Sus scrofa: one gene and its partners. The protein of the gene in region 4 interacts with the protein of the main gene of each other region in a biochemical or structural test. Links are inferred from orthologs where the notes say so. Each region holds a gene or a part of one and is shown on either strand. Other genes may lie near its edges. The genes, in order: UBL7, MINDY2, USP2, UBC, UBE3C, USP13 and UBQLN1.

The links.
Region 1: the proteins of UBC (region 4) and UBL7 form a complex in vitro, tested with the Homo sapiens proteins (6 studies listed by BioGRID, with this or other methods). The link is inferred for Sus scrofa from reciprocal best matches to the Homo sapiens genes UBC and UBL7.
Region 2: the proteins of UBC (region 4) and MINDY2 form a complex in vitro, tested with the Homo sapiens proteins (5 studies listed by BioGRID, with this or other methods). The link is inferred for Sus scrofa from reciprocal best matches to the Homo sapiens genes UBC and MINDY2.
Region 3: of the proteins of UBC (region 4) and USP2, one has a biochemical effect on the other in vitro, tested with the Homo sapiens proteins (21 studies listed by BioGRID, with this or other methods). The link is inferred for Sus scrofa from reciprocal best matches to the Homo sapiens genes UBC and USP2.
Region 5: of the proteins of UBC (region 4) and UBE3C, one has a biochemical effect on the other in vitro, tested with the Homo sapiens proteins (5 studies listed by BioGRID). The link is inferred for Sus scrofa from reciprocal best matches to the Homo sapiens genes UBC and UBE3C.
Region 6: the proteins of UBC (region 4) and USP13 form a complex in vitro, tested with the Homo sapiens proteins (9 studies listed by BioGRID, with this or other methods). The link is inferred for Sus scrofa from reciprocal best matches to the Homo sapiens genes UBC and USP13.
Region 7: the proteins of UBC (region 4) and UBQLN1 form a complex in vitro, tested with the Homo sapiens proteins (13 studies listed by BioGRID and IntAct, with this or other methods). The link is inferred for Sus scrofa from reciprocal best matches to the Homo sapiens genes UBC and UBQLN1.

The regions. Positions count from the first base shown.
Region 1 is NC_010449.5:59,069,592-59,073,556, forward strand, and holds the start of UBL7 (ubiquitin-like protein 7), read left to right. Parts: upstream 1-1,165; 5' UTR 1,166-1,214; intron 1,215-2,508; coding exon of another isoform or gene 2,509-2,537; coding exon 2,538-2,721; intron 2,722-3,477; coding exon 3,478-3,597; intron 3,598-3,965.
Region 2 is NC_010443.5:113,178,762-113,182,261, forward strand, and holds part of MINDY2 (ubiquitin carboxyl-terminal hydrolase MINDY-2), read right to left. Parts: intron 790-3,500; coding exon 544-789; intron 1-543. UniProt on the Homo sapiens protein: Hydrolase that can remove 'Lys-48'-linked conjugated ubiquitin from proteins. Binds to polyubiquitin chains of different linkage types, including 'Lys-6', 'Lys-11', 'Lys-29', 'Lys-33', 'Lys-48' and 'Lys-63'.
Region 3 is NC_010451.4:46,587,555-46,591,756, forward strand, and holds the start of USP2 (ubiquitin carboxyl-terminal hydrolase 2), read right to left. Parts: upstream 2,801-4,202; 5' UTR 2,671-2,800; exon of another isoform or gene 2,667-2,670; intron 660-2,666; exon of another isoform or gene 540-659; intron 1-539. UniProt on the Homo sapiens protein: Hydrolase that deubiquitinates polyubiquitinated target proteins such as MDM2, MDM4 and CCND1. Isoform 1 and isoform 4 possess both ubiquitin-specific peptidase and isopeptidase activities.
Region 4 is NC_010456.5:28,259,064-28,261,271, reverse strand, and holds the end of UBC (polyubiquitin-C), read right to left. Parts: coding exon 570-2,208; 3' UTR 501-569; downstream 1-500.
Region 5 is NC_010460.4:1,541,954-1,544,113, forward strand, and holds the end of UBE3C (ubiquitin-protein ligase E3C), read right to left. Parts: intron 1,995-2,160; coding exon 1,824-1,994; 3' UTR 501-1,823; downstream 1-500. UniProt on the Homo sapiens protein: E3 ubiquitin-protein ligase that specifically catalyzes 'Lys-29'- and 'Lys-48'-linked polyubiquitin chains.
Region 6 is NC_010455.5:117,698,757-117,702,879, reverse strand, and holds the start of USP13 (ubiquitin carboxyl-terminal hydrolase 13), read right to left. Parts: upstream 2,801-4,123; 5' UTR 2,612-2,800; coding exon 2,444-2,611; intron 2,338-2,443; exon of another isoform or gene 2,029-2,337; intron 1-2,028. UniProt on the Homo sapiens protein: Deubiquitinase that mediates deubiquitination of target proteins such as BECN1, MITF, SKP2 and USP10 and is involved in various processes such as autophagy, endoplasmic reticulum-associated degradation (ERAD), cell cycle progression or DNA damage response.
Region 7 is NC_010452.4:31,274,715-31,278,715, forward strand, and holds the start of UBQLN1 (ubiquilin-1), read left to right. Parts: upstream 1-1,201; 5' UTR 1,202-1,459; intron 1,460-1,699; exon of another isoform or gene 1,700-1,724; 5' UTR 1,725-2,164; coding exon 2,165-2,344; intron 2,345-4,001. UniProt on the Homo sapiens protein: Plays an important role in the regulation of different protein degradation mechanisms and pathways including ubiquitin-proteasome system (UPS), autophagy and endoplasmic reticulum-associated protein degradation (ERAD) pathway.

The DNA of each region.
Region 1 (3,965 bases), on a different chromosome or scaffold from region 4:
GTGGGTTAAGGATCTGGTGTTGCCACAAGTTGCAGTGTAGCTTGCCAATGTGGCTCGGATCTGGCGTGGCTGTGGCGGGGGCTAGGCCACAGGTGCAGCTCCATTTCGACCCCTGGGCTGGGGAACTTGCATATACTGCAGGTGTGGCCATTGAAAAAAAGAAGAAAAGTGGCTCCCTTAATTGATTGGCGAGGCCTAACACCTGCGCAAATACAATCCACTCTAACCATGCATCTAAAATACAGTTGGTGCGGCCTTAAAAAGAAAACAACAACAACAACAATAAAATCAGTTGGCCCCTCAGTATCCGAGGGACAGGGCATTCGGGAATAGGCAGGGCAGACTATATGCCATTTTGCATAAAGTGAGTATCCGCGGATTTGGTATCCGCGGGGGGAGGAGGAGGTGCAGGAAGCAATGCCCCGCGAATACCTAGGGACGACTGTATGCATTTTCTATGAGAATTCAGTGAAAATTCCCCTCCCCGAATTGATTCCATTAATGACCTGGATAAATCCCACCATCGCATACTGGGGCGGACCAGGAACCCGGTTTGCTAACTCCTAAGAACTGACTTTTCGAGGAAGTCATCATTGGGTTCCTGGTAAGCCCCCACAGGGAGGTTTAGTCGGGAGAATCCAGAGGCGAGGGTCACAAAAGAGGCTGACTTCACCGAGGGCAAGTCGTTTTCTGTGAGGGCTGCAAAGAACCGCTGAGGAGTGTCTGAAGAAGCTGCTCGGGAAAGGGCCCTCCCAGAGGGAAAGGTTGGAGCATTTGGGGTCCGCAATCAGGCCGAGAGCCCGGCAGCGGGCGTTCCCACCTGTGACGCTGTAAGGACCTGGCGTAACCTACGGACTCTGCATGCGTCCCAGGACAGTGCGGGAATCACCGGGCAGTACACCTCACACCAAGCCTTGCTCTTACGACCCAAGAGACCCACACCCTAGAACACTAACAATTTCAGTACCCTCTGAGGCGAAAGCACCCAGAGACCCTCGCGCCGTAACTTTCAAATGGTCGCGAAGTCACACCCTCCCCGGAACCGGAAACTTTGCAACTAGCGCCTCTCGCCGGCAAGCTGCTTATAAAGGAGCAGGAGCCGCAGTAGGAACTGCAACTCCCAGAATGCAGCGCGGAGCTTCCGGTTTCCGGCGAGAGGACCTGAGTGAGTGTTTACACGGCGGCCCTGCGGCCGGGTTCCTTCCGCGGGACGGGTGAGGGCGCTGGGTCCCGGGCCGCGCGGGCTCAATGCGTATTGACTAGTTCGCAGGTCCCATGGGAATGGTGGGGTCGTCACCCAGGAGATAGTATTCCTGTCCCAGTATTAACTGTCAGTGACCTTGGGCCACTGATTTCACTTTTTTGAGCCTCAGTTCCTTTGTAGTACGTAGATGATAATGCCTGCCTCGGGGTCCATTTGAGAGGATTAAATGAGATAGGGTATATTAAAAGACCTATTTCCTTCCTGTTTAAAGGCAAAGATGGAAGGTTTTGAGGGTGCCCTGGGGTCTGCTGGACGGCCTCGAAGCCTTTCTTTCCTCTTCCAAAGAAGCCACTTTGGAAGCAATATTGATTATAACAGTGGCCTGGCTTGCCTTACAAGATTCTTTCTCATAGTTTCAGATTCATTTTCTAGGCACCCATATGTACTGGGCATTGGGACAACAAGGACAAAAAATTCTAGTCTTTGCTGTCAAGGGCCTCTACGAATGGGATGCGGGGAGATTGAGATGTAAACAGATGTTTGTAATCCTTTGCCATGAGAGAATGTGAGAACAACAGAGGGGAGGGAGGGAGGACAGAGAGGTTGTGTTTGGGTTGGTCTTGGTAGGAGTTTGCTTAGAGACTGAAGAGGGAAGAGGAATTACATGTAGAGGAGTTAGCAGATGAGCAGAGGTATAAAGTGAGGAGAACTTTGTTGTGAATCCAGGCTTCCTGAGGATAGACCTAAGTGTTGGGGAGGGTGGGGCAGCCCAGAGCTCTTGGGGAAGGCGGTTGTCAGAGAGAAAAGGTGTGAATGGTTTTGAAAATCAGGCTGTGGCATTTAGACTTATTCATAGAGGTGGTTTGGATTCATTGGAGGGGTTCTAAGCAGAGGAATGACTTGATCGGATCTGGTTTTAAAACAAGTTGGCTGGCAGCATGGATATTTGATAGGGAGAGGCAAGAGGCTGTTGTAGCAGTTAAAGCAAGAGATAATGAAGAGTGTACATAGGGGAGAGGGTTGGATGATCTCATTTGAATCTCACAACATTCCTGTTAGCTGGGATGGCATTTTTATATCTACTTGAAAGCCAAAGAAACTGAGGCCTAGAGAGCTGAAGTTCCTTGCTCTCTGTCATAGGATGAGAGAGGACCCCAGATTCTAGTTCTAGCTTCCTGATGCTGCTTCCTAGGCTTTTTCAACAGTGTCACACTGAGTTATCTCTCATTTAGCCCCTTGGTGGGGTGGGGCTGGTGTAGAGTGATGGTCTGTCCTTTAACCATTAAGGCTTTGTTCCTTTCCAGGGAGAAAGAGAGAGCGCGAAAGAGAGAGGATGTCTCTCTCAGATTGGCACCTGGCGGTGAAGCTGGCTGACCAGCCACTTGCCCCCAAATCTATTCTTCGGTTGCCAGAGGCGGAGCTCGGAGAATACTCACTGGGGGGCTATAGTATTTCATTTCTGAAACAGCTTATTGCTGGCAAACTCCAGGAGTCTGTTCCAGACCCGGAGCTGATTGGTGAGTCTCTGTGGACTGGGGTTGGGCTGCTACTCTGATTTCTTTTTGGGGAGAATAATTCTGGAATTACAAGGGTAAATTAAGAGTTTGGGACTTGTTGTCTCATAATGTTAACACTCCAGGGAAGTGATTGTTGTTGGGTGAATAGAGACACAAGTCATATAACAAAGCTACTGGTTGCCATTTTAGTTGTACATTATACTCAGCTGCTTTATCACAAAGGTCTTTAACTATGACATTATTGAATTCTTTCTCTGAAAGAGCAAGAATTTAGGATGGGAAAGAGAAGCTGGTCAGGGAAAGACCCTCAGTATATGGCATTTGAGGTGGGTCTTCGGCATGTGTAGAAGGATGGTTGGTTGGTTAGAGAGAAGGCAGTGAAAAAGGAAGGAAAGGTGGCAAGGGCTTTCTAAGTGGAGGAAGACTAATTACATTATAAATAAACATAATGGTATATAAACTGAAAAATGGTATAAACTGGCAAAAAGTGTGTTTTCAGGCATAAAAAATACTGGGTTCATCCTTTTTTATTTTTGGACTTTCCCACTCCTTTAAATTGAACAGTCTTCATGATGTTAAGCTCTAGAGCTTTCCCGCATATAGATTCTGTATTTTATCAGTTTGTACCTGCTATTAATTGTTATTAAAACGTACTTATTAAATAAGAGTACTGTTTAAAGCATGTATCGTGTATTATTTTGAGGAGCAAAAGATAAATGAACAGGTGTTTTTTTGTTTTGTTTTTTTTTTTTTTAGATCTCATCTACTGTGGCCGGAAGCTCAAAGATGATCAGACTCTTGACTTCTATGGCATTCAGCCTGGGTCCACAGTCCATGTTCTGCGCAAGTCCTGGCCTGAGCCTGATCAGAAACCGGGTGAGAGATTGTTGGCTCTTAGACAGGCAGCGTTTCTGTAATATCTACAAGGGCAGGAGGATCTGTGTGTTCTTGAGGCAGAGCCTGAGTGGGACAAAGGACTGATTTACTGAGATGATAATAGAGGATGTCTTTATTACTTATTGGATTAGACCATGTTGATAAATAGAGCGTAATTCTGGTCTTCTTGCTGCCAGCACCACTGATAGAAGGGGATTTGTTTCTCTACTTTTAAGTTCATTACCCACTGTTCTAATAGGATGGGGAGTATGTGTCTGTTTAAACTCCTTTAGGGCAACAGTTTATTTCTCAGTGGACTTTGTATCTTTTTGTTATTGTTATTGTTCTCAGTAGAAAAAAAGCTAGAA
Region 2 (3,500 bases), on a different chromosome or scaffold from region 4:
TTTGTTCACATTGGTTTGTAGTCTTTGAAGCTGCTAAGAACTTAAACATTTTGAAAAATCTTTTTTTTTTTTTTTGTCTTTTTAGGGCCGCACCCATGGCATATGGAGGTTCCTAGGCTAGGGGTTGAATTGGAGCTGTAGCTGCTGGCCTACGCCACAGCCACAGCAACACTAGATCTGACGCGTGTCTGCGACCTACACCACAGCTCATGGCAACGCCAGATCCTTAACCCACTAAGTGGGGCAAGGGATCAAACCTGTGTCCTCAAGGATGCTAGTCAGATTCTCTTCCCCGAGCCATGACAGGAACTCCAAAAATTTTGAAAAATCTTGCCATCAGAACCTCAGAAAAAAGTTTCACTAAATGAGAAATATATTAAGATAATCACAAATTTAGAACAATGTCATAAAACCCACGGATGCTAAAATGCTAACAGAATTGAGGAGTCAATATCTAATTTAAAAATGTTTTAATCCCAGAACAAATTTTTTTTTATTGCTAGAGTGATCATTGTATTTAAGAATCAGAACACTAGTTTTTACCTGGGCCTGTGCAGAAGCAGAAGTAGAAGCAGGAGCAGAAGCAGAAACAGAAGCAGAAACAGAAGCAGAAACAGAAGCAGCAGCTGCTGCTTGTTCCTGTTCCTGATAATATTGAGAAGCTCGTCTATCTTCTTCTTCTTGGAGTTTCTTTGCTAGTTCCAAATCACTGATTCCTTCAGGTATTTGTTCCCAATTGATCTCTTGGCTCTGCTGTTCTTGTTGTAGAGATAATGCCATAAGATAGTCCTAAGAAATTACATTATAACCATCTTTAGCTATGAGATTTACCCAAGAACTTGCATGTGTAAATATAGAGACTTCATCTGCAAGCCTCTGAGAATGGCTTTTAAAAAACACACAAGAGCTTAAATACAAAAATACAAGTTATTTATTTCTGTTTGGGAGTTATAAACATTTCAGCGATGCTGCCATTATTATAAATATTTTAAAAATTTATTTGAAATACTTTCTAGAAGCAGTATATAAGGCATTTAAGGAAGCTTTAAAAAATATGTCCATAGAAAATTGAGACAAAATAAAAAAAGCATAAATAAGAAAGTTAGGATAACCATAATATCTTTACAGAGAGGCAACCATTGTTAACAATATACAGTCCACTTCATTTTTTCTATATTCAGATACAAATTCAAACACATCTCCCAACCCCTGAAACTATCACAATGTTTTCTTTTCCACTTAGTGTCATAAAAGTCTTATTTTAATAAAATTACAAGAACTTCGCAAAATTATTTACTTTTTTTTTTTTTTTTTTTGGTCTTTTTAGGGCCACACCTGAGGCATAAGGAGATTTCCAGACTCCAATCAGAGGTGTAGCTGCTGGCCTTTACCACAGCCACAGCAACACTGGATCCGAGCTGTGTCTGCGACCTACACCACAGCTCACAGCAACGCTGGATCCTTAACTCACTGAGCAAGGCCAAGGATCGAACCCGTATCCTCATAGATGCTAGTTGGGTTTGTTAACTGCTGAACCACGATGGGTATTCCTACTAAATATTCTTTCAAAACATGATTTTTAAAGCCAACATGGCTGCCCATCATAAAATCATATTCAGTTACTTAATCACATTCTTCCTCCTCCTACACACACACCCAGATTATTTCCTATGAAAGAAAGTGATGTCTCTTTGGTTAAAAGTTACATTATCTAATTTATCCACTCTCTTCTCTCATTTTTAAAAGTTTTATTGAAGTATAGTTGATTTATAATGTAGTCGATTTACAATGTAGTGATAATTTTATTGAGGTATAGTTGATTTATGTTTCTATAAAACAAAGTGTTCAGTTATATACATATACGCACATCCATTTAATATCCACTTTTATGAAGCTATATACTCTCAAAGTAAGAGAATTTTAAACAACCACAGAAGATATATAAGAGGTTTTTGCCTGTGAAGACCTTGTACTATCTATAATGATTATCTTACTGACATCAAGAATTTGTCTTTCTCGGAGTTCCCGTCGTGGCGCAGTGGTTAACGAATCCGACTAGGAACCATGAGGTTGCGGGTTCGGTCCCTGCCCTTGCTCAGTGGGTTAACGATCCGGCGTTGCCGTGAGCTGTGGTGTAGGTTGCAGATGCGGCTCGGATCCCGCGTTGCTGTGGCTCTGGCGTAGGCCGGTGGCTACAGCTCCGATTCAACCCCTAGCCTGGGAACCTCCATATGCCTCGGGAGCGGCCCAAGAAATAGCAACAGCAACAACAACAACAACGACAAAAAAGACAAAAAAAAAAAAATTCCCGCAAATGATGCTCACTCAGATATTAGTTCAAAAAAAAAAAAAAAAAAAAAAAAAAAAGAATTTGTCTTTCAGGAGTTCCTGTTGTGGTATAGTAGAAACAAACCCTACTAGTATTGATGAGGATGCAGGTTTGATACCCGGCCTGGCTCACTGGGTCAAGGATCAGCATTGCTGTGGGCAGTGGTGTAGGTCGCAGATGCGGTTGGGATCTGGCGTTGTTGTGGCTGTGGCGTAGGCTGGTAGCTGCAGCTGCAATTTGACCTGTAGCCTTGGAACTTCCATATGCTGTGGGTGTGGCCCTAAAAAGCAAAAAAAAGAAAAAAAGAATTTGTCCTTCAAATTTTTCTCCTTAATTCTATAAACTCCACTCTTTGCCAAGTCCCTTCTTTGATACCTTTATAGATAATATCAATATTCTCAGTATTCTCATCATCTTACACTGTGGCAAACTATTGCTTTACTTCATTCCCTTTGCACCAATATTTTTTATCTAAGGTATTTAGAAGAATCCTGTACATTTCTCTTAATATTTAAAAATGCCCCTGTATACCTTCTGAAGGAAAGTGAGTGTGTCAATAATTATAGCTGTCAAAGGAAAGCCAAGAGTCCTAGAAAGATTAGCATTTTTGGAATCAAGTATTCCTTTGTCTACTTATAACTTGCTATTCAAATTGTCATTATAGAACTTAATATAAAATATTAGTTGGTCAAATACCTGCCTCTCCAACTAGACTGCAGAATCCTTGAGGACAGGACTGAATGATTTAGTGTCCCCAGGACCTAGTTATAGTGCCAGGAATACAAGTGCTTAACGAACACTGGCTAAATTAACAGTCTCTATGCACTTAGTGTTATCAGCAAAACATGTGGCAACTGTTTAACATAACCATATTTCCCCCTCAGTTGAAGAAAGTGTCACATCACTGTTATACTTCTAGTAATAAACATACTTGTGGCTCCAGGCCTCCTCACCTAGAGCAGGCAAAAATCTCATCTATCGCAGTTCTAAATAAGAATTCTACTCAGTAGTGCTCCTATGATAAATTGTCTGTTCCTCCTTACTTTGGGCTCTAAGGCTTTTGTGTCTTATTAGAGTCCTACTCTTTACCCAGTGCATGGTATCTTCAAGAGTCCCTCTTTTCTACTTTTTTTTTGACTAGCCAAGATAGATCTCAAATATGTACTTGTCT
Region 3 (4,202 bases), on a different chromosome or scaffold from region 4:
TGACCCACCAGTTGCAGATGCCTTGGAAGGGGGTCATCCAAGGGGATTGGGGCCCCTCTCAGTCTCTCTCAATCCCAGTAGTTGCCCAAGGGATCGGAGGGGGCAAAGAGGTTAGATAAAGAGACCAGAGATTAGAGCCAGAATCCTGCCTGGAGAAGAGCTGGGTGGGCTGAGGGTGGCGTCTCTAGAGGGCGCTTCTTGATTTGGGGTTGGGAGGGGGTGGGCATTGCTACACTTCCAAGAAAAGGCAAAGATATAGGCCCCCAGGCAATACTGGAGTCCTCAGGTCTTCTTTTCCAACCACCTCCCTCTGGGTGCCCCCACCCCACAGGAGAGCCCCAGGCTCCCTCTCTCCTCTAGGGCTTCCTCTCCTCTTCCTGGTCTCTGAGCCTTTGGTCTTGCTCATAGCACCTACCAGGCCAGGTGGGGCAGCCTCTCACATGCTCCCCCAAACAGACAGGGCTCCCCCAAACAGACAGTCCAGGGCCCTCTGGACAACAGCCCTGTGAAGTTTGGATAGCAAAGGGACAGCTACTGACCTGTGTCCAGGGACACGGGATGGGATCTGGGGGCTTCTCCTTCCCCAGCAGGGCAGGGAGTGCAGTGGCGAGCCCAGAGGCAGGAGTCTGACTTGGGGCCGGGTAATCCGGAGCTCAGGTTACTGACTCCGATATATATAGTATCTTATCTGACCTCACGGAGATGGCTAGCTCCACTCACTGGCATTCCAAGCCTGGGCAGAATTAAAGGGGCAGTGGCAGGCCCTCCCTTGAGGTGGGCCCGTGCCAGGCAAGATCCTACAAGACTGTTTGAAGGGAGGGATTTTGAAATGGGACAGAAGGGGGATTCAAGGGGAAATAGAACTGGAAAGATGGTAGAGGGATGGGGGTGGAATGGAGGCAAAAATATGGAGAAGGAGGTGCCAGTCACAAAACTGGAGGAGAGGAAGAAGCCTCAGTGCTTGTCTGCCTGCTTTACTCTTGAGATGGAAGAGCCCTAGAGGCAGACAGCAGCGTGCTCAAGGGCACACGGATACAAAGGCAGGTGAGACCTCCTCAGGTTCCCAGGCCATTCTCATTTATAATGGACTTCTAAGCCTGGGCTTGTATTCTTTCTTTCCCTTTTATTGGCTCTAAGTCGGTGGGCAAGTCCCTTAAGCCCTCTGAACCTTATTTAGTCTGTAAAATGGGAATAATAATAATAATAATGTTATACCTCACAGGTGTGAGGATTAAATAATATTTGTAAATTTCCTGGCACCTAGTAAGAGCTCAATAAATGGTAATTATTACTATATTGAATACTTCCACTTATAATTAGAGGTAGTTTTTGTAGTAGCACCCTCGGGGGAACCTGGCTAGGGAGAAAAGGGCCTCCAGGCTACCCCGCGGGAGTGCTGTTCTAATGCCATGGTTTTCTGAGCAGGTCTGTGTCCCATAAGTGGCAAGGCAAACGAGGCTTGCCCCATTCCCAGATGTCCAGTCCACCCACCGGCAAAAGGCCGGGCCCTCTTGGGCTCCTTCCTCCTTTGCCTAGAAAAATACAGCAAGTGCAGCTTCCCCGGGGCTCCCGGGAGCAAGCCCAGCTGCTCTGGGGCAGTTCCACTCTACCTGTAGGAGTGCTCAGGATCCCGGAGCCCAAGGAGTGGGGCTGGCTGGGCAGGGTCACAGGAGGAAGGAGCAGGATTCTTAACCTCTCGGCTCTTGGTGCTCTGGTCTGCTCCCAGTCTGTCTGGCCTGTTTCTCGATGGCTCTCCCTGAGGACTGGGAGTACCCAAGATGGGGCCTCCACCCTGTCTCAGCAGAGGCTACTGACTCAGCTCCGGTCCTGATGATGCACTTCAGAGGACGCCCTTGTCCCCGGCCCTCATTCCAGTCCTCATTCCGACCCCGGCTTGACATTATCTACAGCATCAGAGAAGGGGTGGCTGATCCAACCCCAGCTCAACCAGCTCTCCTTTTCCTTGGGTTCTCATTGGGGGACCTTCTCATGCCTGTGCCTGGGGAGGCGAGCAGCAGCAGGATCTCCAACTCGGCCCCATTCGAAGAGCAGCCAGGTCAGGAGGTAGATGCTCACTCCTTAGAGGACAACTAGAATGGATTGGCCAGGGCTCCCTTTGGCTGTTAAATATAAGTTACTAGCCTTAGAGCACCGCGTGCCTGCTTCTGGTTTGGGATTGGTGAAGATTTCAAAGATGCCTCTTTCTGGTTTGGGATTGGTGGAAAATCTCCCCTTCCACTTAAATGCTACCCTCCCCCCACCCCACCCCCTTTGGCAAACCGACCAGAGACAGCCCCCAGGAGCTTTGACAGAGGGAGTAAATGAGCTGCTCGCACACGTGGGGAAAGGATTGTCAGTGTCCAGGCGTCACTCTCAGCCACATCCCACCCAGGGCTCAGAGACCTGGACCTGCCCAAGCAGCGTTTCCGTAGAACACACTGATTAGCGCACAGATGGCTCTTCCTGGCACCCTGGGCTGTCAGCTGGTGCCCCCCCTCCCCCCTACAACTGGTACCCACAGCTGGAGATCTTCAGCGCAGCTGGAACTCGCCCTACATTTCTAGTGCCCATTCTGCCCAGCCTGTCGTTGGCACCTCACTTTCTGAGCCTCAAACAACACTGCCCTCCGCATCACCCCTCCCCAGTATCCGACAGGTGGCAGGTACCTGCCTCTTCTCCGAGGATGGACGAGTCGAGCCGGGCACAAGCATGGAGCTGCGGGTGAGTCCTGACTGGTACTGGAGCGGCGCAGTGAGCAGCAGCTGACGCAGAGGGCTCCCTGGTCTCCGCTCCAGCCCGCCTCTCCCCCACCTCCGCCGGGGGCCCAGAGAGGACCTCCCCGGGAAATCGGCGCCACCCAGCGGGCAGCTGCCTCATTGCGCCGGGGCCGTCAAAGTCACACCCCGCGTTTCGCGTCACTGAGACGCATCACGGCTATTGGCTTTTTGCTATTGTGGCGTCATTAGACTCCGCCCGGCCAGGGTCTCCCAGGCGACCGATATATACAGAGAGCCACGTGAAGGAAAGGTGAGTTTGGAGGCGGGGTGGAGCACAACGAGAAGGGTCCCAATGCGGCAAGAATGTGGCACGACGGGAGAGGTGTAAGGTACTGGGAAAGAGGAAGCGTCTTGGGGGGAAGGGTCAGAAGTTGAGTCCCAGGGCATATATAGCAGCTTTTAGTATTTAGGGAAGGCTAAATGTTCCTCTCCTTCCCACCCGACCAGGAGCGGACCTGTTTTTTTGCCTCTTCTCTTTTTTCTCTACTCTTTAAGACTCTCCACTCAGTAACAGGAGACCAGTGATTAGTGATGACCCCTTGACTGGGTGAACGGAGGCACTGAGTCAATGGAAGGATTCTCTTTTGTCTTTTCAGAAAAAGCCGAAAGGAAATTTGAATTTTTGCCGCTCCTTTTCTTTGTGTATAACCTTTCTCTACTTACACTGCGGTGGTGAAGAAAACCGCATAGCCATGTAGATTGGTGCCGGGGCAAGTCCAGGTTTTCAATTTCACCTGGACCATCAATCCTTTCGTGCCCTTAGCTGCTTCTCTTGTTCTTATGCAAGGCTGGTATTTCTGCCCATCATCACTCTGAAGTCCCTTCTTGTCTTCTCTTTCCCAGAGAAACTAGAAGCAATCAGGAGGAAAACACTTAAAGTTCTTCCTACAAATATATCCAAATCCAGTGTTCCCTCTGCTCCAAGAGCAGTGAAAGAAGTGTCCCGCTTCTTGTCCAGGACAAATCCCTTCTGGATTTCAACTCTTTAATTGTTCCTTAGTGTTACCTGAAAACTGGGTTCACCTCTTGGTGGGCTTCAAGCCAAAAGACACAACCAAGCCAAAGATTGGAAGAAGGTAAAATTTATTACTTGTAGCAAGTAAGAAGAACACCGGGGCAGGGTGTGTGTGTGTGTGTGTGTGTGTGCGCGCGCGCGCGTGTGCACGGCGGTGTCTTTCCCCAAGCAGTGTATCCTGGAACAGCAAAATTGGGGAAGTTTAAAGCTAAGGGTGCATGCATATTCATGAAGGGCCTTGAGCCAAAGAGAATTCACAATAGAATTGAGGCAAAGGTTGCCAGAATCCAAGCTTTAGTTGACTGAAGTCAATGAGGGTCAGCAAAGGTCAACATCATTCCTTAGTTTCAGACCAGGGTCTCAGCTGGTAGTTACATAGTTACCATCCTCCATGGGGGGGGGGCTTAGTT
Region 4 (2,208 bases):
GCAACAGTTAAGAGCCAATAATCTTCTCTACTAATACTTAAAACTTTCTAATGTAATGCCTAATGAGACTTTTCTAATAACAAATGCCAGAGCCTTTCTTTCAAAAATGGTCAAATGACTTTCCAGACAGTTCAAAGTGAATTTAAATAGATTTACATACTAACCCTGATTCTTCCATAGGTTCCCATCACTCCCACCCTCTTTTTGATTCTTTCTCCTGGCTGGTACTGCAGAAACTTCCCCTTCTCAGATACTACATCCAGTATTTACAAGTAAATCTACATAGAAGAGTACATATGAATAATTCTGCAACCTCTTACTAGTCTGGGTTTTATTTATACTCACCCACTACAGTTCTACATTAAAACCATCTTTTACTGACATTTCTTACCTCCTGTTTACCACAGATTATGTAGCAGACTGAAAACACTTGATCTCTTATACCCAACCCGACCTAAAAAAAAAAATCCTCCTTAGACACTTAAAAATAAATCACACTATTTTGGAATGCAACAACTTTATTGAAAGAAAAGTGCAATGAAATTTGTTGAAAGCTTAAAAGGGAGAACTTAGAAACCTCCCCTCAAGCGCAGGACCAAGTGCAGGGTGGACTCCTTCTGGATGTTGTAGTCAGACAGGGTGCGCCCATCTTCCAGCTGCTTCCCGGCAAAGATCAGCCTCTGCTGGTCTGGGGGGATGCCTTCCTTGTCTTGGATCTTCGCCTTGACATTCTCGATGGTGTCGCTGGGCTCCACTTCCAGGGTGATGGTCTTACCAGTCAAGGTCTTCACGAAGATCTGCATCCCACCTCTGAGGCGGAGGACCAGGTGCAGGGTGGACTCCTTCTGGATGTTGTAGTCAGACAGGGTGCGCCCATCTTCCAGCTGCTTCCCGGCAAAGATCAGCCTCTGCTGGTCTGGGGGGATGCCTTCCTTGTCTTGGATCTTCGCCTTGACATTCTCGATGGTGTCGCTGGGCTCCACTTCCAGGGTGATGGTCTTACCAGTCAAGGTCTTCACGAAGATCTGCATCCCACCTCTGAGGCGGAGGACCAGGTGCAGGGTGGACTCCTTCTGGATGTTGTAGTCAGACAGGGTGCGCCCATCTTCCAGCTGCTTCCCGGCAAAGATCAGCCTCTGCTGGTCTGGGGGGATGCCTTCCTTGTCTTGGATCTTCGCCTTGACGTTCTCGATGGTGTCGCTGGGCTCCACTTCCAGGGTGATGGTCTTACCAGTCAAGGTCTTCACGAAGATCTGCATCCCACCTCTGAGGCGGAGGACCAGGTGCAGGGTGGACTCCTTCTGGATGTTGTAGTCAGACAGGGTGCGCCCATCTTCCAGCTGCTTCCCGGCAAAGATCAGCCTCTGCTGGTCTGGGGGGATGCCTTCCTTGTCCTGGATCTTCGCCTTGACGTTCTCGATGGTGTCGCTGGGCTCCACTTCCAGGGTGATGGTCTTACCAGTCAAGGTCTTCACGAAGATCTGCATCCCACCTCTGAGGCGGAGGACCAGGTGCAGGGTGGACTCCTTCTGGATGTTGTAGTCAGACAGGGTGCGCCCATCTTCCAGCTGCTTCCCGGCAAAGATCAGCCTCTGCTGGTCTGGGGGGATGCCTTCCTTGTCTTGGATCTTCGCCTTGACGTTCTCGATGGTGTCGCTGGGCTCCACTTCCAGGGTGATGGTCTTACCAGTCAAGGTCTTCACGAAGATCTGCATCCCACCTCTGAGGCGGAGGACCAGGTGCAGGGTGGACTCCTTCTGGATGTTGTAGTCAGACAGGGTGCGCCCATCTTCCAGCTGCTTCCCGGCAAAGATCAGCCTCTGCTGGTCTGGGGGGATGCCTTCCTTGTCCTGGATCTTCGCCTTGACGTTCTCGATGGTGTCGCTGGGCTCCACTTCCAGGGTGATGGTCTTACCAGTCAAGGTCTTCACGAAGATCTGCATCCCACCTCTGAGGCGGAGGACCAGGTGCAGGGTGGACTCCTTCTGGATGTTGTAGTCAGACAGGGTGCGCCCATCTTCCAGCTGCTTCCCGGCAAAGATCAGCCTCTGCTGGTCTGGGGGGATGCCTTCCTTGTCCTGGATCTTCGCCTTGACGTTCTCGATGGTGTCGCTGGGCTCCACTTCCAGGGTGATGGTCTTACCAGTCAAGGTCTTCACAAAGATCTGCATCCCACCTCTGAGGCGGAGGACCAGGTGCAGGGTGGAC
Region 5 (2,160 bases), on a different chromosome or scaffold from region 4:
CGCCTGGGACCTGATGAGGTGACAGCCACTCCTGGGTCGGCCCTGGCCCTGGCCAGAGCTTGTGCGGGAAGGGCGGTGACGCGTCCACCTCCCCAAAGCCTCTGTCAGTGCAGCTCAGGCAACACACAGGACTGCCTGGCGTATGTGACTCTGAATAATCAGCCTGTATTAACTGACATTCAAACAACCATGGAAAACTCAGTGGTTACCGGTCATGGTTTTACTGGGGCAGAACAGAACTAATTACAACTGGGGGTACGACTCCAACACAGACTTGGGGGAAAAAATTAATGCAAATATTTAGCCACTGGAACATACAAATAAATAAATACGCTCAGGATGACTGAGGAAAAACCCCCAAAGTGTAACTGCCCATTTCTTTTCAGTCCCAGATATTTCATTTCCAAAAGACTGATAATAAAATATACAGATCAACTACTAAGCAGAGAAGACCTAGAACATTCAACAGAAAACCTAAAATGAAAATAAAACCAAGGACAAAACCCTAATTATTTTATTTTTGTATATCAAGACTACAAATAGCATTTAAACACTTAATTTATTGTTCAAATTAAGAAATTATACATTTTGTTTTGATAATGGTCATTGTCTTAAAAGTGTCATTCGCTTTCCCCACATTTAAAAGCATATTGCTAATTCTGGTCACTTCCACGGGACAGCCCAGAGCTCCAGGGACAGCCAAACCCCAGCCGCAGAAGAGCCGTGGTCTGCTTTCTTGGCGCCCCCAGCGTCAGCAAAGGGTCCCTGCACTCGCAGATGACGCGTTCAAACACCCTCCGCTTGGAGAGTCTGAAACCACCCAGCTCCTGATAAAGTGCCGAATCCCAGAGAGTCACCAACCCGCCCCGCCCCGCCCCGCGCCGCGCGTGGGGCCCCGCCCTCTTCCCGCGCAGCCCCGCCCTCTTCCCCGCGCAGCGGCCGGGCGGGGGCGGGGGCGGGGGCGGGGGCGGGGGCGGGGCGGGCTGGGCTGGCGGGCCGGCCGCAGTGCAAAGGCGCAGCGCCACTTTGGTTCAAGTGACTCGAGACGGTGCTGCGGGTGGCCTCTCCCCGAGCCATCGCTCACGCGGGTCTCACACACGCCGCAGGGACTGGACGGAGACCCCCCTCCCCTGAAAGCTCTCCAGGCACAAAGTGGAGGCGGAAATGGAAAAGGAAGGAAGGGCCCACCTCACACACACACCCACGCACAGTAATGTCCAAACCATCATGATGCAGGTCGGGGGCACACCGGGAACAAGCATGCTAGTCCCATGGTGGGGAGATGGCTTAAAAACACAAATAAAAGATCACCATTGTTACCTATTTTCCAAACCTAACCACTTTGGGAAAAGGCAGCAGGAAAAGAAAATGCCTTTCGTCTAACAATTCGGCTTGTAAACAATTCAATCACACGAGAAGCAGTGGCGCTGGGAGGGAGCGCCTCCCCCCTCCGGACGGCGCCCCGCAGCGGAGCGGGAGCGGGAGCAGGGGCGGCTCCAAGGGGCCCCGGGGCTCCGCTGAGCCAAAGCTTCGTCTTTGGTTAGTTTCACTGAGTCGCCACTCGTCTGCAAACTGTGCTCTTCTTGGCAAAACGACTACGTGAGCCCCGCGGCACATACATCTGTTTTTAACTTACTTCACCCTCTACGTGAGCACAACTTAAGGAATCACTAAAAAAATGCCGGGAGGGGGTGGCGGGGAGACAGGCCCGCGGCAGCTCCGGGCGTCGGCCCGGGCGCCCTCCTCGGCCCGGGCAGCGCGGAGGCCCTGCGCCCTCTCCGTCGGGGCCCGGGGCCGGGGCCGGGCGACGCGGCGCGGTTGGCTCAGCTCAGCTCGAAGCCTGCCGCGCACTCGATGGCATAGAGCAGCTTGCTCCGCAGCAGCGCCTCGTCGTGGAACTCGGGCAGCTTGAGCAGGTTCATGCAGGTGCTGGCCGTGGGCAGCCGCTCCAGGTCGGAGCCGCCGTTGTGGATGCAGAACGCGGGGTACAGCTCCTGCAAGACAGCGGGCGGCAGCGCTCCGTTAACAGGCACAGCCCCAAATGAGGTTTTCCTTTTCTTTTTAGGGCCAAACCCACAGCACATGGAAGTTGCAGGGCTAGGGGTCCGATCCGAGCAGGAGCTGAGGCCTAGGTCACAGCCACGGCAGGATCCCTAACCC
Region 6 (4,123 bases), on a different chromosome or scaffold from region 4:
GCCATGAAAGTAACTCCTCTAGCACCACTTCAAATCACATTACTCACAGTAGCTCTCCATAACTGATTGTATGAAATCAAGATCCTATACGCAGGTATTCAAGTCCCCCATCTTCTCTCTACTTGGTTCTGACCTCATTGCTTGTGAAATCAGTCTTTTTCTTCCAAATACATCACAAGCAAATAAAAAAAATATTCACACTTTACGTGTTTGTGCATGTGATTTACCTGGCATAAAATGCTGGTCTTCTATTTATTTCTATCCATCTTTATCTATGACCATTTTCAAAAGTATTCAAGGCAAGTATGACTATTTTCTCCACTCAAATGGCTTTGCCCTTTTCTCTACCACAGTCCTATGGCACTGATGGATTAAAGTCTCTGCTGTGTTTGTCACCAATAGATTTTGTTCTTACAGCCATGCATGTATGAGTTGGCACATAGTACGTGCTCAAGAACACTTATGGGATTCATGATGAAGTGTTAGGTAAGTACCATTGAGAAAGGTCTCAAATTATCATGCACTGTGCTTTAATATAACTTGTTATAAAACCTTTCTCTTCCTCCCTTGAAACACAGATAAAGAAATACACTGATTCATCAGCCTTGTAAATAAGCCCAGTTTTCCCCCAAGGAACTACTGTGAATGAAATCATCAGTTTACACTGGACAAGATGCTTCTAGAACGTTTGGCATGCAGTAAGCTCCCAATAACTATTTGTGGAAGTAAATTAAAATAATCAGATTTTTTCCCTACCTGCCATACACTATATACAGTGAAAAAGACTTTCAATAACAAAGTTTGTAAGAAGCATTTTAAGAGTAACCCAGATCAAACATAGAAAAAAAGCAGTCTTACCCACTTCAGACGTTGTGCTATCCTAATGTACCTTATCCACTTTCTTTCTGGAGTTCACATTCTACCAATAGCTTAAGTTTGTTAGGGTTATCCCTCTCCACCGTCAGAAGCTATTAGTAGGAACCTGCCCAACATTGGACATAAAATCTGAAAATGGCATTTTCAAATACTTTGTGGATAACAGGACTGAAAGACTCTGTTGACAGTCACATTAAGCAGTGTGATCACAATATGTGAAATATTAAATTTGTTTTTATTAAATGAAATTAACCATTTTATTCCACTCTACACAGACTTTTTTGAAAGAAAAAAAAAAGTGAAGAACAAATAAGTGAGATTTTTTATCCCCAAAATGATCTGGAATTGGCATAAAAAAATTAAATGTCACAGAGAGGATACTAACTCTGGGACTCCAATGTGTACAAAACAAAAAAGCTGTGAAATCAGTCAAAATCAACTCACAAAATAATAATGAATACTTTGGAACATTTTGCCACCATTGGGTTTTTTTCTTTTCATCCAACAATACAAAACATGAGTAAAATGTGTTAGACTATTGTTGTGAAACCTGTCTCAGTCCTTCCAATCCATGCACCTCCTGTTTGCATTTAGATCTGCCGGGTGACACATGAGCTCTAAAGTGGGTGGATAAAAATAACCTGGTCCTCAAAAAGACATGATAAACGCCAGACAGCTGAGTCACTTTGATGCCCATTTTGACTCCTGAAAGGGACATTCACCCTCCTTTTCCTTTTCACACATACACATGCAACCTAGTGAAAAACACCACCAACCGCCCTGGGTGGAAGGCGGTGATGCGTCTTCACTCCCCACTCCAGTCTCTGAGGTCACGACTCGCGATTGAACTTTTAATAATTTATACTAGTGCATTTCAGTCAAACTAATTCGTTCAGAGGAGGAAGGGGACAGGCTTAAGGAAACCGTAATAATGCAGCAGACCCCTATTTTGCTGCCCAAGTGGAAGCACCCAAAGGTGTCTTCTGACATTCTGACGGAAAGAAAAGGAGTGGGGAGAAATTTCAAGTGGAGGGAGAAACGCTCAGAGAGGAAATCATAATTGTCCAGGAGTGGGAATCCCTGGGCAAAGCAAACGGTCCCAGAAAAAGAAGGGCTGCATTCGTTCAGAGGGAATCAGTCCGGTCCACCTACCAGCCCTTCGCTCTCCCACCAAAGAGAACGCAAACCGTCTGCAGCGTACACTTAAGATCAGGGAACTCTTCGATTCGATCTACGTTTCAAACGTCGGCGGGGCTTGGGTCAGGCTGCTACGAATCCGGGCCCTGTCAGCCTAAGGTTGGAGAAGCAAACCTTCCCAGGTGCCCAGTCTTCGGCTGAGGAGCCTTGGGAATGCAGTGCGCAGCACCTAGTAGACACTAAGTGTTTGCAGAACCGCCGTGCCTCTGGGCCAACTCTGCCGCCCAGAGGAGGAGGTCCCCGGCTGCCACTGCGCATCTTCTCCCCCCAGCTTCACGTGCAGGAGAGTTCGGCTGCTCGCTGTTGCCCCAGGCCGCCTGCACCGCCACCCTCCCGCTAGGCGCCGCCGGCGCCGCCGAGCCTCACTTACGGGAGAGTCGTAGGAGAATGCGCACTCGTTCTTGTAGACTCGGTCCCCGGACCTGGGCACGCGGATCGTCGGCATGTGGGGCACCAGCAGCTCGCCGATGTCTCCTGCAGCCATCTTCCTGCTGCTGCTGCCGCCCGGCATGCCGAATAGGGCGCCCCGGCGCTGCATGGCCGCGGCGCGCACCGGAGCGGAGCTGAGCCGAGCTGGAGCGTTGGGTCTGCCCGCGGCTGCGGCGGGCTGCGCGGGCGACGGGAGCCGAGCCGGGGCGGGCAGGGAGAGCGGGCCGCGGGGCGGGAGCGGGCACCCGGGGCCTGGGGCGGGCTGGCCAAGGGGACGCTGCTATTTTTAATCCAATGGCGAATCGCCGGCCCAGCTGCAGCGTCAGGCGGGGCGTTCGGGAGCGCCAGCCGCAGCGCGCGGGGAGGGGGCGCTGGAGAGGGGCCTCGAGCAGTGGCCGCGCTAGGAGCGGGGGTGGAGGGCGAGCCCCGGCGGGCAGACTCGGGAGTCGTGAGTCGGACTTGAGGCACAACCGCAGTGTTTTCTATTCTAAATCGCTAGGTTGCAAAGGGACATCTCCGAGGCAGCCAACACAAAGAGCAGGGTTTGAGGTTTGAAAAACCGCTAGCTTTTAAAAACAGCCGAAGATAACAGCGGGGACTACTCCCGAGTGCACTCGAGGTGCAGATCGGGAACCCAAGTTGGGCCCAAATCTAAATTTGTGATTTGCATTTCGGTGTTAATTTCACTAAGGCTTGTTCCACACTTTTTTTTTTTTTTTTTTTTTGGTCTTTTTGTCTTTTTTTGTTGTTGTTGTTGCTATTTCTTGGGCCGCTCCCGCGGCATATGGAGGTTCCCAGGCTAGGGGCTGAATCGGAGCTGTAGCCACCGGCCTACGCCAGAGCCACAGCAACGCGGGATCCGAGCCGCGTCAGCAACCTACACCACAGCTCACGGCAACGCCGGATCGTTAACCCACTGAGCAAGGGCAGGGACCGAACCCGCAACCTCATGGTTCCTAGTCGGATTCGTTAACCACTGCGCCACGACGGGAACTCCTGTTCCACACTTTTTTTAACATCTAAAACTCACTAAAAGAGAATAAAATAGGATCCAGTAAGGACAGATGTATGTTTTATCAGTAATACTGATTGTTATTAACGTATGGGGCAGGAAGTGTCAAGATTATTTTCGGGGGCACGGAAATTTTACATTTTTCTCTATCTTTCAGACGTCTTCCGCGAGATTTGGTGTCAATCATTCAACTTACTGATTTGGGATCTTACGTGCAGACATACATCTTCCCTGCCTTGCAAGTCCAGTTACTCAAAATAAAAAATAAGTGGGGTTATGTGGGGGGGGGTGTGAATAATCTGCAAACAGAGCATGTTCTCATTTTCTCCCAAAAATTCTTAAAACAAGATTCAATTCCATTGAGGTTCTCTAACTACACCCAACCTAAAGAACAGAGTACCAGTGATAAGTGCCAGTTAACAGAGAAATAGTGAATCAAAACACTGATTTCTGGGAGTTTTCTCGTGGCTCAGAGGGTTAAGGATATGGAGGTGTCACTGCTATGGCTCTGATTACAGCTGTGGCTGCGGGTTCGATCAGGAAAGGATGATACCTGGAATTTGATGTGAGATAGATGGATGAGCCCTTTCTTGCCCCGCTCTTTTAAAT
Region 7 (4,001 bases), on a different chromosome or scaffold from region 4:
CTGCTGTGCCACGACAGGACCTCCAGCTCTTATATTTGTTTCACCAATCATTTAACAAACAAAAATTGTTCAAAAGAATATGCCTCAGACACCCTGTGGCCAAATCAGATCCTAGGCCTGTTTTTGTAAGTAGTTTTACCAGGACACAGGGAGGCTTAGTTACCCATACACTGTCTGCAGTTGTTCTTTGTTACAAGCACAGAGCTGAGTATTTGAGATGGAAAATGTATGGTCCACAAAGCCCGATACAGCTACTATCTAGTCTTTCGATGGTTTCTTACAAGGTAGAGTTGTATCCAAAAAGGGCTCTAATGAATTACTTAACTACATAGTCTTACAGATAAATTCTATTACTCCATAAATTGAGCATAGTCATCAGAATTTTTGTAGAAATTGATGTAGATATAAATAATTACAGAGAAATTTTTCCTAAGTGTAGGGTTAGAGATAAATGATTGGTTTTCCAATGGCAGAACTTTCCACCTTGACAAGTAATGATTACCTCACATCCAGACACAAACAAACAGTCATCTTCTAGCAGAGAGCCTTGTGTAACTTCTTCATGCTATTATTGAACAAGCTGCCAGGAATGTAGCTGATATCAGATGATGCCTATGTTGCAATTTACACTTTGAGAGCTCCTCTTAGACCGAGATTCCAAAGGAGCTCTGCTAAAAAGTGGTCTTCATGTAAGAGTACTTATAACCAGAACAGAGTTGGATGGCTTAAGAACAGAAATACAGTACGTATCCTTGCATATTTGGATCATGGTGGGGTGTCAGAGTTTACACTTGTGCAATACTGGTTAATAAAGTTCATGTCCTGTGTTGTACATTCCTTTGCAAGTCATCTTCAAAGGCAGATGATAAGTTCATTTCAAATTTAGAATTCTTTAGAGGGAAATTAACTTACTGTTTCTTATTTGTACCCATGTTTCATTGAATATAATCTTCGAAACTTTAATGCCACTTGAAGTCTGAAATGAAGCAGTAACTTAATTTGAAAGAATATAAAATGAACACCTGAGCTTCATTAAATTGTCCCAGTTGGGTGGGCACTTCTTGGGTACTCTGCTTGTGCCACAAACATTTGGGGGGATAGTATTCAGAGAACTCCAGGATGCACTAGCAGGGTTGTCAACGCAGGAGAGGCCACTGTCAACACAGGTGGCCTGATCACCTGACCAAACGGGACTGACCCGAGGGTGGGAAGCTCTGGCCATGGAGCAGTGACTCCGCGAAACTGCGCAAGGTGGCTACAGGCATGTACTCCATTTTCCTTTTCTTAGGACGAGGATTTTTTTCCTCCATTAATTCATAATTCAACTCTCGCGCACCGGGCTATAAGAGCAAGTGTTTTAAAGCTTCCAAGTGGGTAAGAATCAAGCACATTTAAAATCAACGAAACACCTTGCGGGCATTTGTTCTAGACCCTCCTCGCAGCAGGCTACGCAAAGCAGGTACGGGAGCTAAGGGGGTGCGCACCGCCACCGGGGGGAGGGGGGGTGTAAGGTGAGGGGGTTGGGGAAACTACCTGGCCCACCAGCGCGCACGCGCATCTCCAGCCGCAGCGCCCAGTGGTCGATACCCCTTTCCAGTACTTTCGCTAGCCGTGACGTCATCCCTCTGCGCCCTTTCTGTCTCCCCGAGAACACGCGAGTTTATTTTTTGGTGAAAGGGGTAAAAAGAAATGAACTGACCTCTTCTACCCCACTTTGTTTTTAGTCCTTCATTCTGAACGCGCCTACGCTTTGAGCAATGGAGCAGGAAAGGGCAAAAAAGCCAGCCAGAGTCCCAAGCGGCGCCGGCCTGGCATGACTCGGCTACGTCTCCAGCCGCGTTACCCGGCGTGCCCCGCGCGGCGCCGGCAGAGGGACGTGGGGGGGAGGGGCGGGGAGGAGGAAGCGGCGGCGGCGGCTGCGGATGTCGCTGTGAGCGAGCGGCATCTGAACACACGGCGGCTGCCGAGCGCCCAACCCGGGCCTGCGCCGGGGTCCACGCCAAGCTTCGCGGCCCCTCGCCCGCTAGGACAGCCCTGCGCCCGTTGTCACCGAGGCAGCGTGCCCCACATTCTCCGCTGCCCAGGCCGGCCGGCTCTGGCGTCGCCTGGCTCCCCCTCGTTCGCCCGCTCCCTCCTGCGCGCCTGAGTCACCGCCGTCGCCGCCATGGCCGAGAATGGTGAAAGCGGCAGCCCTCCGAGCTCCCAGGACAGCGCCGCCGCGGCCGAAGGTGCCGGCGCCCCCGCGGCCGCTGCCTCCGCCGAGCCCAAGATCATGAAAGTCACCGTGAAGACCCCGAAGGAGAAGGAGGAGTTCGCAGTGCCGGAGAATAGCTCAGTCCAGCAGGTGAGGGCCGCCCTAGGCTCGGGGCGTAGTGGGGATGGCGGCAGGACCTCCGCCCGCCGTGGGAGGAGACGGTTTTGCAAGGGTTTGGCGGTGGTGGGGGTCGTCCCCGGAGGTGCCCTCATCCTTTCTCCCGCGTCTCATCCCAAATTCGATCACACCCAAGTTCGTGGGTTTGCTCCTGGGGGCATCGCAGGTTTGTGGCGGGGGCCGCGCGGCCTTTTTGGGGGATGAACAGATGCTGCTTCTCTCGGCTCCTTCTTCGGGCGTCCACAGACCCCCAGCCTCCTCCTCCAGCTCCCCGCCCCCAGCCGCCTCCTTCTGGCTCCTCACAAAGGAAAGGGACCCGCCGCCTGGCTCCGGGCGGGGTGGAGTCTGGGTTAGGGTTCGCCTTAGCCTAGTCTGCGATTTTGTCTCGTGAAAAAAAAAAAAGGGGATGCTCATTGTTTTACCTGCCTACAGGTTAAGGTGGATTGGGGGATGACGAGCACGTGTACATTTGGTTCTGCGTTTTGAGTGCTGAAAATTTTCCCATCTTCCAATCTTTAAAGAAAAAATTAACTATGACGTAGAAATTGTTTTCAGCCATATCTTAAGTGCTAGTACTAGGCTTAAACAGAAGAGGGGATGACTTTCATTGACGATTTGCTGGTCTTTTTTTAAAGTGTATTTGTCATCGCTTAGATGCCAATCATTGGGGAGGTTTTTTGTTTGATTTTAGTGGGAGAACTGCGTTATTCAGATATTAGCGTATGCAGTCGGATAACAACGAAATTGGAGTTAATGGAGAACATGCAAATATGCTACTTAAAATCTGTTCAGGAATACAAATCCCGCAGTTAATAGTCTTGAGGAATTTAACACATTGTTTTAGCTTATTGAATATACGTCTCAGGATATTTTCTACAATTATTGAGTTGATCTCAGCGTGAACAGTTTATGAAGAAGCAAAAATTACTGAAACGTACTTGTGAATGTCCCTAGGAACAATAAATGATTAGGGCATTTGTATATATAATTCTGAAAGGTGTTGTGTTTTGTCAAGTAGTAAGTAGAGTGTGTAGCATCAAGTGAGAAACTTTGACCACCTATTGAATCACCATATTTTTTTCCCTCAATATAACTATAAAAAATTTCCTTAACGTTTTTATGTTTTCTAGCATACAGGGAAATTGAAATAATTGTGCAGTGAACACCATGTGTCCATTGCCTACAGTTAGTATCTAGCTTTATTTGCTCTGTCATACAATTAATTTTATTTTTTCGGATGCATTTCAGGGTAAGTTTTAAGCATTAGTACATGTTACTCTTAAAAAGCACTTTAGTAATGTGCCTATCATTAACCTGAATTCATTTTTTTAACCTAAATTTTTTTTAGTTAAATTTGACTTGCGGTGAAGCGCACAATTGCCATTCCATGAGTTTTCCCACGTACATACACCTGTGTAATCCGAAGCCTTATCAAGTTGTAGAACTTTATAATTGACTAGGAAATTTCCCCCTTGCCCTTTCCCAGTCAGTTCAGTGACTCTCCTCCGTTAACCACTGTTTTGATTTCTTCCATGGATTCATTTTGCTTTTTCTAGAATTTCACATAAGTGGGATTATTGGGTATGTACTCTGAGTAAGGCTTTTTCTTTCAGCTTAGTGTTTTTGAGAC